2 linked regions of the Solanum lycopersicum genome follow. The protein of the gene in region 1 interacts with the protein of each later gene in a pairwise test. Links are inferred from orthologs where the notes say so. Each region holds a gene or a part of one and is shown on either strand. Other genes may lie near its edges.

Region 1 (6,057 bases):
CCTGAAAACAAGGTAGGCTCTTTATATCTTCTTCAGTTACAAAAAGCCACCTAATTCAGAGTTGAAATTGTCGTCAACAAACAGCGAAACATCAAATCTAGGTTACAACTATGTAGTTAGGACAGTTACAAGAAGTTACCTTTGGTTGTTTTCGTCTTCACTCATATCCCTCAACTTTTCTTGCATTTCTCTGCAATAATCCAAACATCAGCACAATGACATAGTTCAAGAAAGAAGCACAGACATTTGACTCTGACAAACCACAGACCTAATCCGCTCATCCAGTCTTCGCTCCTCCACTGAAAGTCTGTCAGTTTCGGCCTGCAAAATTGCAAGCTACTTACTAGAAAGTTCAATTTTTGGATAATACATTACTTCAAAGTGAAGTTCTCATACAACTAGAGTTCTATTCAAGCGCTGAAAACTAGTCTAACAGTGGATATCTATCATAACATAGATGAAGACACTATCTTAGCAATCAAATAGTTTAGGAAGCATACACGAATACCTTTAAAATGGAAGCATCATTATCCACTTCTCCAGGTCTAGAAGATTCAACACCCCTAAGGAGTGATTATGGAATTTTCACATCAGTATAGCTTCGGATGATTAACAGATCACTGCAAGAAGTGTCTAAGTAGAAATATGTGTTTATATCCAAGCAAAGCTAGCTTACTTCCATTGTATTCTGTTCTTGAGCTTCTTTTCAATAAGACCAATTCCTTCAAGCACATTTGTTATATCGTAGATCCTTCTTTTCTGCACCTGTATGATCCAAAAATTATAATCAGAGTTTAACAATGCAATGAGAAAACTTCTTGCTAAATGATATATTACCTCCAAAGTGTCAGCAGCTTGGTTAAGATCAAGCATACCATCTTCAGCATGCTTGATCAAGTTGATAAATTTCTTGGTTAGTAGACCTGAACAGAAGATTCAATTTTGGGTTTATTCCACCATAAACTCACGTTTTCCATAAAAACTTTTACAACAAATCAATCCCTGGGCAAAAAATCATGGAATACCCAATGAACTGTCGTAGCGGCAGCTTGCAGGTGTAAGGGGAGAAGGAGAACCTGCGAAATCGCAATCCACAAGTTAATTAAGACCATATAAACCAGTGCAACCAAGACAGTACAGACCGTTTTCTATAAATAACGTTTAGATAGATGCGGAGGGAAATAAAATTTGAACATTTACTCGTGTCCAGTTACAATCAAGACATAAAAAATTAGACACAAGCCTCACCAGCATTATAGACAGGAGTTTGAGGTCCAGATTTATTATTTTTTGTGGCTCTTGACCGTCCATGTGCTCTTCCTCCTTTTCCAGACACAGGCGTTCCAAGAGGACTATTGGCCACATCTGCATACCCGGAATTAGCAGTCCAGTCACTGGACTCAACCTCTTTAATATAGCCTGTCTTCCGCTTTAGTGCCTACAGGCGCATTAAGTGTGCAAAGTAGAAATAAGTGATCAACAAGTAAAACATAGCAAACTGAGGAACAATTACGACTAAACTCTGAATTTTCCCTGGGATAAATTAGAGTATATAGAATTAAAAAATTCTTGACTTGGGCACACAATTATCAAACTATAAACAACAAGGGTGGACAGCAGTGTAAGAAGGCTCCCTCTGTGCAGGCTCCAGGGAAGGTGACTGTAGACAGATAACTTCCTTATGGAGAGGCTGGTTCCAAGACATAAGCACTAAACCTTTCACACCTAAAATAATATACCTATAGAAGGAAAGCCATAACTAACAGAGCTTCAGTTTAATTTAGTGCTAACTAATTAGAGAACACAAACAAGTCCCAATTGTTACTTAAACAAAGGAATTAATTCTGAAGATGAACAAACAATAAAAATCCTCCCACTCAATCTTCTCTAGCTATCAATAGGACTCAAAACATGAATGACACCAATAATATCCACATACAAAAAGAAAATGGCATTCAGGTTTCATGAGGTTTATAAGATCAACAAAGCTACATTACATGTTCAACTATGTAACCAAATTGGTTGTCACGTGTGCAAACATGAATGACAGAACAGCATAAATCACAACCAACTCACTTTGACTCATTTACTCCTTTTTACCAAATTTAGCCAGCAGTATCTGGATGTTTCAGCTAACAAGAGGCAAATGACCTCCGGGGAAATTAGAAATGAAAAACCAAAGGCAGCTTAACATCTTAACCCAACAAAAGCCAATTAGCTACATACCAAATACCATCCATTAGCTTAACAAACCCAATACCAGGTTCCAACCACAATAATTAGCCTCAAAAGTTATTCACACATTGAAATACAAATATTGCAGATCAACAAAATCGCAAGTACCACAAAATGCACAAAACAGCAACAACTTAACTCGAAATTACACCTTTTTAACGACATATAATCAAACCCCACAATATATCTTTCTTCAAAATATCTTATTCATGTCTCTACTAATCAATCCCAGTTATAATCTGAAGTTCCATTTCAAAAGGCAAGACACACTACCAAAGTCCAACATCAATCCCAATTAAAAGCATCCATAAACGACAATCTTAGTTCAAACAAGAATGCTAGTAACCACAAAATGCACAAAAACAGCAACAATTGAACTCAAAATTACACCTTTTTAGCTACGTTTAATCAAACCCCACAAGATATTCCTTTGAAATCTCTAATTCACGTCTCCACTACTCTATCCCACCTCTAATTTAAAGTTCCCATATTTCAAAATGCAAAACTCACTAATAAAATCAAACAGCAATCCTCAACAACTACACTATTAGCTCAAACAAGAATGCAAGTAAACACAAAATGCACAGAAACAGCAACAATTGAACTCAAAATTACATCTTTTTAGCTACATTTAATCAAACCTAACAAAATATCCTCCTTCGAAATCTCTAATTTACGTCTCCACTCCTTAATCTCACCTCTAATCTAAAGTTCCCATATTTCAAAACGTAAACCCACTATTAGAATCAAACAGCAATCCCCAACAACTACACTATAAGCTCAAACAAGAATGCTATTTACTGCAAAATGCACAAAAACAGCAACAATTCAACTCAAAATTACATCTTTTTAGCTACATTTAATCAAACCCCACAAGATATATTTCTTCAAAACATCTAATTTCAAGTCTCAACTACTTAATCTAAAGTTCCCATATTTCAAAACACAAAAACCCACTACACAAAATCAAACAGCAATCCCCATAAAAAAACAACACTAATAACTCAAACAAGAATCCAACAAACTCACAGGTGACTTAACCACAATAGCTTCAGGCTGCAAACTAGCAGACCCAATTCTAGAATCAACACCAGGTATAGAAAATCGGTGGTAATCCTCAGGTGTAACAAAAGGTGGCCTCATAGAAGCAAAGGGTAAGTATCTTTTGATCGGATGAGAGATCTGACTCCTCCCTCCACCGTTTACAACGGCGGATGATGACTGAGCAGTGGGTGGCGCCGCCCCACCAGTGGATGCACTAGAACCTGTCATTTTTTCCCTAGTTTTGTAATCAAAAGATATACCCTTTGAACTCAAGATTTTTGGATTGTTGAAGAGAAGGGTTCTGAGGGGATGGGGTGGGGGTGGGGTAGGGGTAAAGGGGGTAGGGGGTAAGGGGGGGGGGTAGGGGGTAAGGGTTTCTCTGTGAAAGGCAAAAAGGAGAAAACGAGGGAAGGGAGGGAATTTTGGTTTTTGTATATATGTGGAGGGAAGAGAAAATGTTAATGTTTTGTTTTTATTCATTTTGGTCCATATGAATACTTATTATTTGCAATTTGACCCTTCTATTGGTAAAAAATTTACTATTTTATTTTTATTTTTTTTGGGCGATCAAATGACGGAAGTCAAAAATTAGGGTAGAAAGTTACGTCGAAGAAACATGATTCTAGTAGGTAGGGGTGGCGTTCGCCATTCGTCGTTTGGCTCTTTGGTTTGCAGTTTTGAAAAAGTGTGGAGTGAATACCAAACCAAACTTAGTTCGATTCGGTTCGTTTTTTTCAATTAAAAATGATTTTTTCGATGAGAATGAAGAATAAATGAGGGTAAAATAAAAAAAAAGGTGTGAGATATATAAGAAAATTTAAAACTATGTTAAGTGATTGATGTTTCTCGTCAATATGGAACAGTTATTGTACTTAAATATTGTGTCACGCCGCTGCTCGAGGAAGACAAGGACGAAGATGAGTTTTTTACGTAATGTATATCGATAAAAATATGTTTGAATTTCTCTATTTTTCAATATTTATGTTCACCCTAATAATAGGAGCAACTTTTTTTGTTTGCAGTTTTGAAAAAGTGTGCGCTGAATACCGAACCAAACTAGTTCAATTCAGTTTGTTTTTTTTCAATTTGTTTTTAAAAATGAATTTTTCGATGAGAATGAAGAATATAAAACGAGGGTAAAATTAAAAAAGTGTGAGATATTTAAGAATCTTTAAAACTATGCTAAATGATGACGTGTCTCGTCAATATGGAACAGTTATTGTACTTAATTATTGCGTCACTCTGCTGCGCGAGGAGGACAAGGATGAAAATGAGTTTCTTACGTAACGTACATTGATAAAACTACGTTTAAATTCCTCTATTTTTCAATATTTATGCCCATCCTAATAGTAGGAGCAACTTTTCTACTCCCATCTTATACTAATCACTACTATTAATCCTATATTTTCTTATAATCTTATTATTTTTGTTTTAGATACTTCTCTTTTTTGCATTTTTATTATCGTAGATTCTACAAAAAATATTTTTCTTTAGTTGAGTGTTTATCCGAAACCTATCTACCTTACATGAAATGAGAGTAAAGTTTGCTTATAATTTATCCTCCATAATCCATATGTCACATTTTTTAGGTCACATTGAATATATTGTTGTTGTTTCAAAAATAGAAGCTATAATTCATTTTCGATGCTACGAAATTTTAAGATTTATTACAATTTTAAAGGAGGATAAAATCGTTTCATTTCGAATGACATGAAGGGTTGTGTTGGTGCTCGACACACACGAAACAATATTTTTAAAAGAGTCCAAGCAACATAGCCAGAGTAGTATACACAGGCAGAAACCACAACATAGACAGTACAGCCTGTGAGATGATGAAGAGATAACCCAAAGAGTAGATCACTACATCCTGTTAAGTTTTATTTCATACGTCTAACGTAACGTAGAAAAAAGACAACTCGATGCACAAAGAATCCTGCATTCACGAAGGATCCGGGGAAGGGCTGGTATGATGCAGAATCAAGTTAAAATTTCACAGTAAGTAAGTCAGGAGATCACAACGCTACTCTCAAGTACTCACCAATCACCAATCAAAGACGATAACGTTATTGCTACAGAGAAACCAGAGAGGATTATAGTGCCAGTACTGAGAAAATCGTTAACTAAACAACAACCACAACATAAACGGTGGAATCTCACAAGAGAGGTCTGAGGAAGGTAGAATGTACGCAGACCTTACCATTACCTCGTGGAGGTAGAGAGGTTGTTTCCAAAGGACCCTCGAAAAATCTTTAACTAAAACAAACACTAATCACATTATGAATATCAGTAGACAAGTCCTAGGCCAAATATAGCATATGTCAAGGCACACTGAACATCAGGTTAATGTACTCTCCAAATTGTATGATCATATCACAACTTACATCGACTATATGAAACAAGGACGGTATAATAAGCAATCGATGCATCAAAGTTCTAGCCTCTAGATGCTACAAATATTTAGAATGATCATTGATTCTTCAAGTTTCCTATGACGGTGCAACATTAGTAGGACCAAGAAGGCGGGGAATGATAGAAATCAATACGATTTTCAACACTGGTTCACCAAGTATACCAATAAATATCTATCAACTTGTTCGTCATCAACATAACCTCGTAGTTTTGTTATAGATATCTTACACTCGCTAACTGAATCTGCTTCTCACAGATGTAGAAGGCCAAGACTAGAGGAAAATGTTTTTTCTCCAATGACCAATATCAATGCAACTTTCTTCCTAATAGCAAAAGGATTTAATCAGAGAAATGTTGGAATGGCAAATG
Region 2 (6,013 bases), on another chromosome or scaffold:
AGAATAACATGCTTCCTACTGGTATCTAGTGTTAAATTAACAGATGTTGGACAATGATTACTTTGACGTAACTTGGATGACACACTTCTTCACCTTTTTACGGCAGTGAGGAGGGGGGAGTCAGGGTGTAGCAGCCTGAGTAAGTGGTCGTGGGACTAGAGTTTCATCATCTTATCTGAGTAGCCCTTTTAATTAGCCATTTTTCATCTTCTGTTGTGATCCCATTACTTGTTACCTTCTAATGCAAAACACATGTAGATGTCAGGATACACAAATTTGGACTCGGAAAGTAGATAGCTTTCAAGATGATTTTCCAACAGTTTTCTCATAAATGCTGTATATAATCAAACTAGGAGTGAGTTTGCTGGATCAGGAATCTGCTTTCCTCTTGATGATTTTGTATCAAAATGATATTCTTGATGCCTTTCAGATTCTAAGCAAAATAGTGTGGCAACAAAAACTTGTGTAACATAGATAGATGAGGTACGGCCATTCTTTTGATGATTAATTGACACTTTTTTATGCTTTCCAACAATAAACATATATATATATTAAGGAGCGTATTCTAAGGTAGAATTTTTGTTGAGTCCCATATCGGTGGGATGAGGAGAAATTGGTCTCTTGTCAGGGTCTTGAGCAATCCTCACCTTTTGAACTAGTTTTCAGGCTTGGGCTTGAGTTAGGTCTAAGGTCCATAGCATGGTACTCGAGCCAGACCCCAAGATGTCTAGTACTAGGCGTGAGGAGGTTTTGAGTCCCACATCGATGGGATTAGGAGAAATCGGTCTTTTTATATTGTCTTGGGCGGTCCTCACCTCTTGAATTGCTTTTGGGGTGCTAAAAGATACTACTACTACTCAAATAGTCATATAGCTCAATGCTAAAACTGTTAGCTCCTTTTTTTTCGTAAAAAATTGTTTCCCTAATAGTCATTTGCTGTTTTGTTTTCACTTCCAGGATCTGAATGGGTGATGCTCTCGAGGCCATTCCTTGAGTTCTGTATTTGGGGTTGGGACAATCTACCGCGCACTCTTCTGATGTACTACACAAATTTCTTGTATTCTCTTGAGGGCTACTTCCACACCATTGTCTGCAATCACAAAGACTACCAGAACACGACAGTGAACCACGACTTACATTACATCAAATGGGACAATCCCCCAAAGCAGTATCCTATCAATTTAACACTGAAGCACTTTGAGGACATGATCCAGAGCGGTGTCCCCTTTGCTCGTACTTTTGCTACTGATGATCCAGTTCTCGATAAAATTGACAAGGAAATCTTAAGAAGGTCTCATGGCGTGTTTTCGCCAGGGGCTTGGTGTGTCGGAACTTCTTCTTTAGGTAAAGATCCTTGTATAGTTTATGGCAGTGTAGATGTTGTCAAACCATCAACAGGCTCAAGAAGCCTAGAGAAACTTGTACTTAAGCTCCTTGATACTGAAAATTTCAGGTCAAGACAATGTAAATAAATTATACAAAACTCTTTTATTGCTCTTGAAAATATTTCTTCTCTTTTTCATACTCTTTTTGCCTCTTTGCTTTGTATAATTATTATTTGACATGATGAGAATCCTTTTGTTTGTTCTTTGGTTATAACAACATATATACCTAATGTGATCCATGACTGGTTTGCGGAGGGTGGTGTATACGTAAACTTGTAAAAGTTGAGAGATTGTTTTCGATAGACTGTTCAAGAGGTCCACCTAATGTTCGTATCAATTGACTCACAATTACTCCTTTGCCACAACTCACAAGTTAAAAATCTTAAAATTTATGTTACTATAAGAACTTATTCGATGGAATCTCATAAATAGGGTTTGAGGAGGGTGATTGTATGCAAAATGGCATTCCTAATGAACTGTTTGTGATCGACCTTCGGCGTATGTTTAGCATATCTAGAAAAAAACATATAATAATAAATAAGTCACACAGAAAATAATGAAGAAAATACAATAGCAATAACAATTAATATGATAATCAAAACGAATTAATTATAGTATGGAAAAAGAACAAATATATCCCGAACTATCATAAATAGTATGCATATACCCTCTATCATACTTTTGAGACATTGCCGCCCCCGTTGTTAAAAAACTAAAGCATATATTCCCTTTATACTAATAAACATACACGTATCACAATTTTATCCATCGACCCGATATTTATCAATATCAAATCGATAGATAATATTGCGCCATGTGTCCCTATTTAGTCTTCCGTTAGAGTGAAGGAAATATAAGCTATATTTTTTGGACGGCAGGGGCACCAATGTCCCAAAAATAATAACAGAGGGTATGTATATGCATACTATTTACGATAATTCAGGGACATATTTATCCTTTTTTCCCTTGTAGTAATTAGTATATGATAAGAAAAATTAGACAACACTCGAAATACCTGCTAACGTGTATACATAATTCCGTAGAGTATATGTGAATCTCCTCTTCACATATTCAAACCATCTCAGTACCGAACCGATCAACCGAGGGTCAAAACCGTAAAAGACAATAGAGAATGAAATAGCGGGAACACAAGCCTTTGACTTTTAAGGTCATGTTTGGTCAAATTGTCTGTTTTTTTTTCTTTTCTGGTACTAATAATAATTGTCTTTTTTTTTCGACCATTTCAGTGTTGTTACTGATTCTTGTCTTCAAGGACACTCAACTATCAGGTTCTTCACTTTTTTTCCCTTTTTTTTTATTTTTTTAGGATAAATTATTTTAGGGTTTATTTTTGTTGTTTGAGATTGAAATTCAATTGTGAAATTTGGTACTTTTATATCTCAATTGATTTGTTTTGTAAATTGTGTTAACCAAAAAAGGGGAAACTTTACTAAATTTCAATTGATTGTTGTTTAATTTGTAATTTCTGTAATAATGTCTGATTCTGTTACACAAATTGAGGTTGCATTTTGGATTTGTGGGTATTAATGTAGAATTTTATGAGGTTAGTAACTGTTTCATAAGTTTTTTTTTCAATCCTACTGTTTGATTAAATGGTAAAAAACACATTTTTTTGCGAGTTTCTTATCTAACTATCAGTTGTTTCCTTTTTTTTTTTCTATTTGAACTATACCTTAAAACTATTTAGGCCAATTACTAGTTTTTTTTTTACCTGTCACTGTCTAGTCAACTAGGTGTGTTTTAATACGTAGATGTGTATAGTTTTGGTAGAAAAAGGGAAAAACGGATAGTTGCGGTGTGAAACTCGTGGAAAAAAAAAGATAGTTCAGGTGTGTTTTTGACCATAGTAAGGTTAAACGTTTACGAGTTGAAAGTCTCGTATATGGTTCTTAGATGGGGGGGAGTTTTATGATTGGTTTGAAGAATGTCTCAAGATTCAAGCAATTGCGGATGATATTATAAGTAGTATATTCATGTTCCTCCCACGTCGTAATATATTTTTATTGTTTGTTAATAGTTATGCTTATTTGTTCTTTTAGTACAAGTAGCTATTTGAGTTTGCTATGAATCTTTACTATTGTCCAACCGTTGGTTGAGGCTTTTGCTTCGTATCTTCTTGCTTGCAATTGCAAAGAATTGTACTAACTGAGTTGTTCTGGTCGACCTACGAAAGCATCAGTTAAATTACTGTACTGCATCAATTCATAATGAGTTGGGGTTAATTATATTTTTATCCTTTGTATCCTCATGAAGGAGTACGAGAGGTTAAATTGGTGTACTAACTCCACGATGTCATGTTTTTTCTCCTTTTTTTGTCACAAGGAAATCTGCTTGTATGATGGATGGCGAAACCTCTGCAAGCACTATTCAAGGGATCAACCGGAGACGTTCTGAGGGCAAGAGTTCATTTCGAGCCACAGCAGATTATGATGACAAAACATTGCATGTTAATCAGCATAGACAGACTAGGTGATTTAATTAACTGATAAGTACTTTTCTTTCTCTTTTATTTTTCTGTATGGTTATGAAGACCTATAAATGGTTTCTAATTCCTATATATGTTTATGAAATTTTGTAAAGTGACACGGCAAAGCTGAAGAAAGGCTCAAAAATTGTCGGAGGAGGTCTAAGACAATACAGTATAATGGGTCGGTGATAATCTAAGGAATGCTTAATGTCCTATACATATGGCCTTTTGTGGGTAACTCCTTTTGTTCTGGATAACGATTTCAATTTTTTCATTTTTAACTTGTCAATTTGCAGTTTGTAAGAAGGTGGAAGATAAGGGACGAATCACATACAGTGAGGTAAGTTTGACCCTTGTTCTGCTAGACTGAATGACCTATACACTTGAAAAAGAGTCTTGCGAAGGTAGACCTAGTCTATACACTTGAAAAAGAGTCTTGCGAAGGTAGACCTAGTCTATACACTTGAAAAAGAGTCTTGCGAAGGTAGACCTAGTCTATACACTTGAAAAAGAGTCTTGCGAAGGTAGACCTAGTCTATACACTTGAAAAAGAGTCTCGCGAAGGTAGACCTAGCCTATACACTCGAAAAAGAGTCTCGCGAAGGTAGACCTAGCCTATACACTCGAAAAAGAGTCTCGCGAAGGTAGACCTAGTAGATATCTATCCTATACATCATAAGTATCAAACCTTCTCAGTCTTCGCAACATTTCTATCTTCATTTATTTTACTAAGAATTACCTCCTAGTATCTCTATTCTACTGCATATAAGAAACGATCTCTCCAACGCATAAATGGTTGTGCTATTTATGAGTAAATGACTGCTTGGATTTTTGAACTTCAATTTATTGCTCGCTCAATGAAATGTTGCAATATTGAACATTATTCGTCATGCTTAACAAAAAGCCTATATGAAAATTGCTTTTTTGGTAGAGATATGGTGGTGTTGAATCTTAAGCTAGAAGAAAAACATTGTACCACCATATATATTTTAGGCGCTTACACAATTCATCCTTGCTAATGTGAAAACTTACCTTTTCTCCTCTGTCTTGATTCTTGTTCGTCTTTCTGGATTTTCCTAGTATATGCATATGACATATAGATTATCATTCTTGATATATAGGTTGCAGACGAAATCATAGCCGAGTTAATGACAATGGAAAACAGTTCCTCTGTTCCCCTTAATGAGGTTAAGTAGAGATCTCAAGACGTTAATTATTTCTTTTCTCCGTCAACTATGATTTGAATAGAATGCTTTATAACCTTTCCAGTCAGATGAGAAGAATATACGCAGACGAGTATATGATTCGCTCAATGTCCTTATGGCCCTTGACGTTATCGAAAGAGATAGAAAGGAGATCCGCTGGAAAGGCCTTCCTAATTCAGATGCAAGGGACATGGAGGAAACTAAGGTTAGCAGGTAGCTTGAGATTTAAAAATTTATCATCATCTCTCACTATCTTTTGTATGTATGCATAAGGCTTAAGCTTTATGATCGTACGCTGATGGAAATCTTGGACTGTTTGAAAGCGGTTGCTTTAGTTGCTAAGGGTGAAACTGGAATTGTGAGATGCCTAAACTGCATTGATGAGCATAATGGCAGTCTAAAAGTATATATATATATATGTGTGTGTGTGTGTGTGTGTGTGTGTGTATATATAACTGATCCTAGTTGTATAAGAATGCTTAATTCCTTGGCCTCATTGAGAAGCGGGCCTGCATTACAACTGATTCCCACATTTCTGTATAGACTCACCGTGTCTTTCGATGATATTATATAAAAAATCTGTATTTTTCCAGAAGGGGCATGCAGAGTTATTGGCGAAGATTGGGAAGAAAGCTGCATATCTGAAAGACTTGGAAGAGCAAGTATGTTCATTGTCTACTCCTTTCGTACCAAATGTCATAAGCTCTTCAAATAAACATCGAAAAAACACTACATTCACCTAACTGAATTGTGGCAATGATCTTTAACTTTCTGCACATATTGGGAAAGCTTGCAAGTCTGCAAAATCTTAAGCTGCGGAATGAACAGTCGTGTAAATCTACAAATGGCCCTTCACAAGGATTCTCTTTGCCATTTATACTTGTTCAGGTATAAGGCTTTAATTTTTCCTCTGAAATTACTGCATCTAGTTATTT

The links.
Region 2: the proteins of transcription factor E2FA (region 1) and transcription factor-like protein DPA interact in binary tests that used the Arabidopsis thaliana proteins (3 or more experiments, as listed by UniProt). The link is inferred for Solanum lycopersicum from reciprocal best matches to the Arabidopsis thaliana genes E2F3 and DPA.

Annotation. Positions count from the first base shown.
Region 1 is NC_090800.1:2,211,439-2,217,495, reverse strand, and holds the start of transcription factor E2FA, read right to left. Parts: upstream 3,720-6,057; 5' UTR 3,508-3,719; coding exon 3,265-3,507; intron 1,439-3,264; coding exon 1,249-1,438; intron 1,077-1,248; coding exon 1,026-1,076; intron 924-1,025; coding exon 838-923; intron 766-837; coding exon 677-765; intron 564-676; coding exon 509-563; intron 322-508; coding exon 269-321; intron 191-268; coding exon 140-190; intron 51-139; coding exon 2-50; intron 1-1. UniProt on the Arabidopsis thaliana protein: Transcription activator that binds DNA cooperatively with DP proteins through the E2 recognition site, 5'-TTTC[CG]CGC-3' found in the promoter region of a number of genes whose products are involved in cell cycle regulation or in DNA replication.
Region 2 is NC_090808.1:4,495,652-4,501,664, forward strand, and holds the start of transcription factor-like protein DPA, read left to right. Parts: upstream 1-2,665; 5' UTR 2,666-2,944; coding exon 2,945-2,949; intron 2,950-3,728; coding exon 3,729-3,875; intron 3,876-3,986; coding exon 3,987-4,054; intron 4,055-4,169; coding exon 4,170-4,213; intron 4,214-4,994; coding exon 4,995-5,060; intron 5,061-5,142; coding exon 5,143-5,283; intron 5,284-5,671; coding exon 5,672-5,740; intron 5,741-5,867; coding exon 5,868-5,966; intron 5,967-6,013. Other genes in the region: beta-glucuronosyltransferase GlcAT14C, read left to right, coding at 958-1,472. UniProt on the Arabidopsis thaliana protein: Involved in the regulation of the G1/S transition. Increases the DNA binding and the transactivation activities of E2F proteins after heterodimerization. The complex DPA/E2FA promotes cell division and acts as a regulator of the endocycle.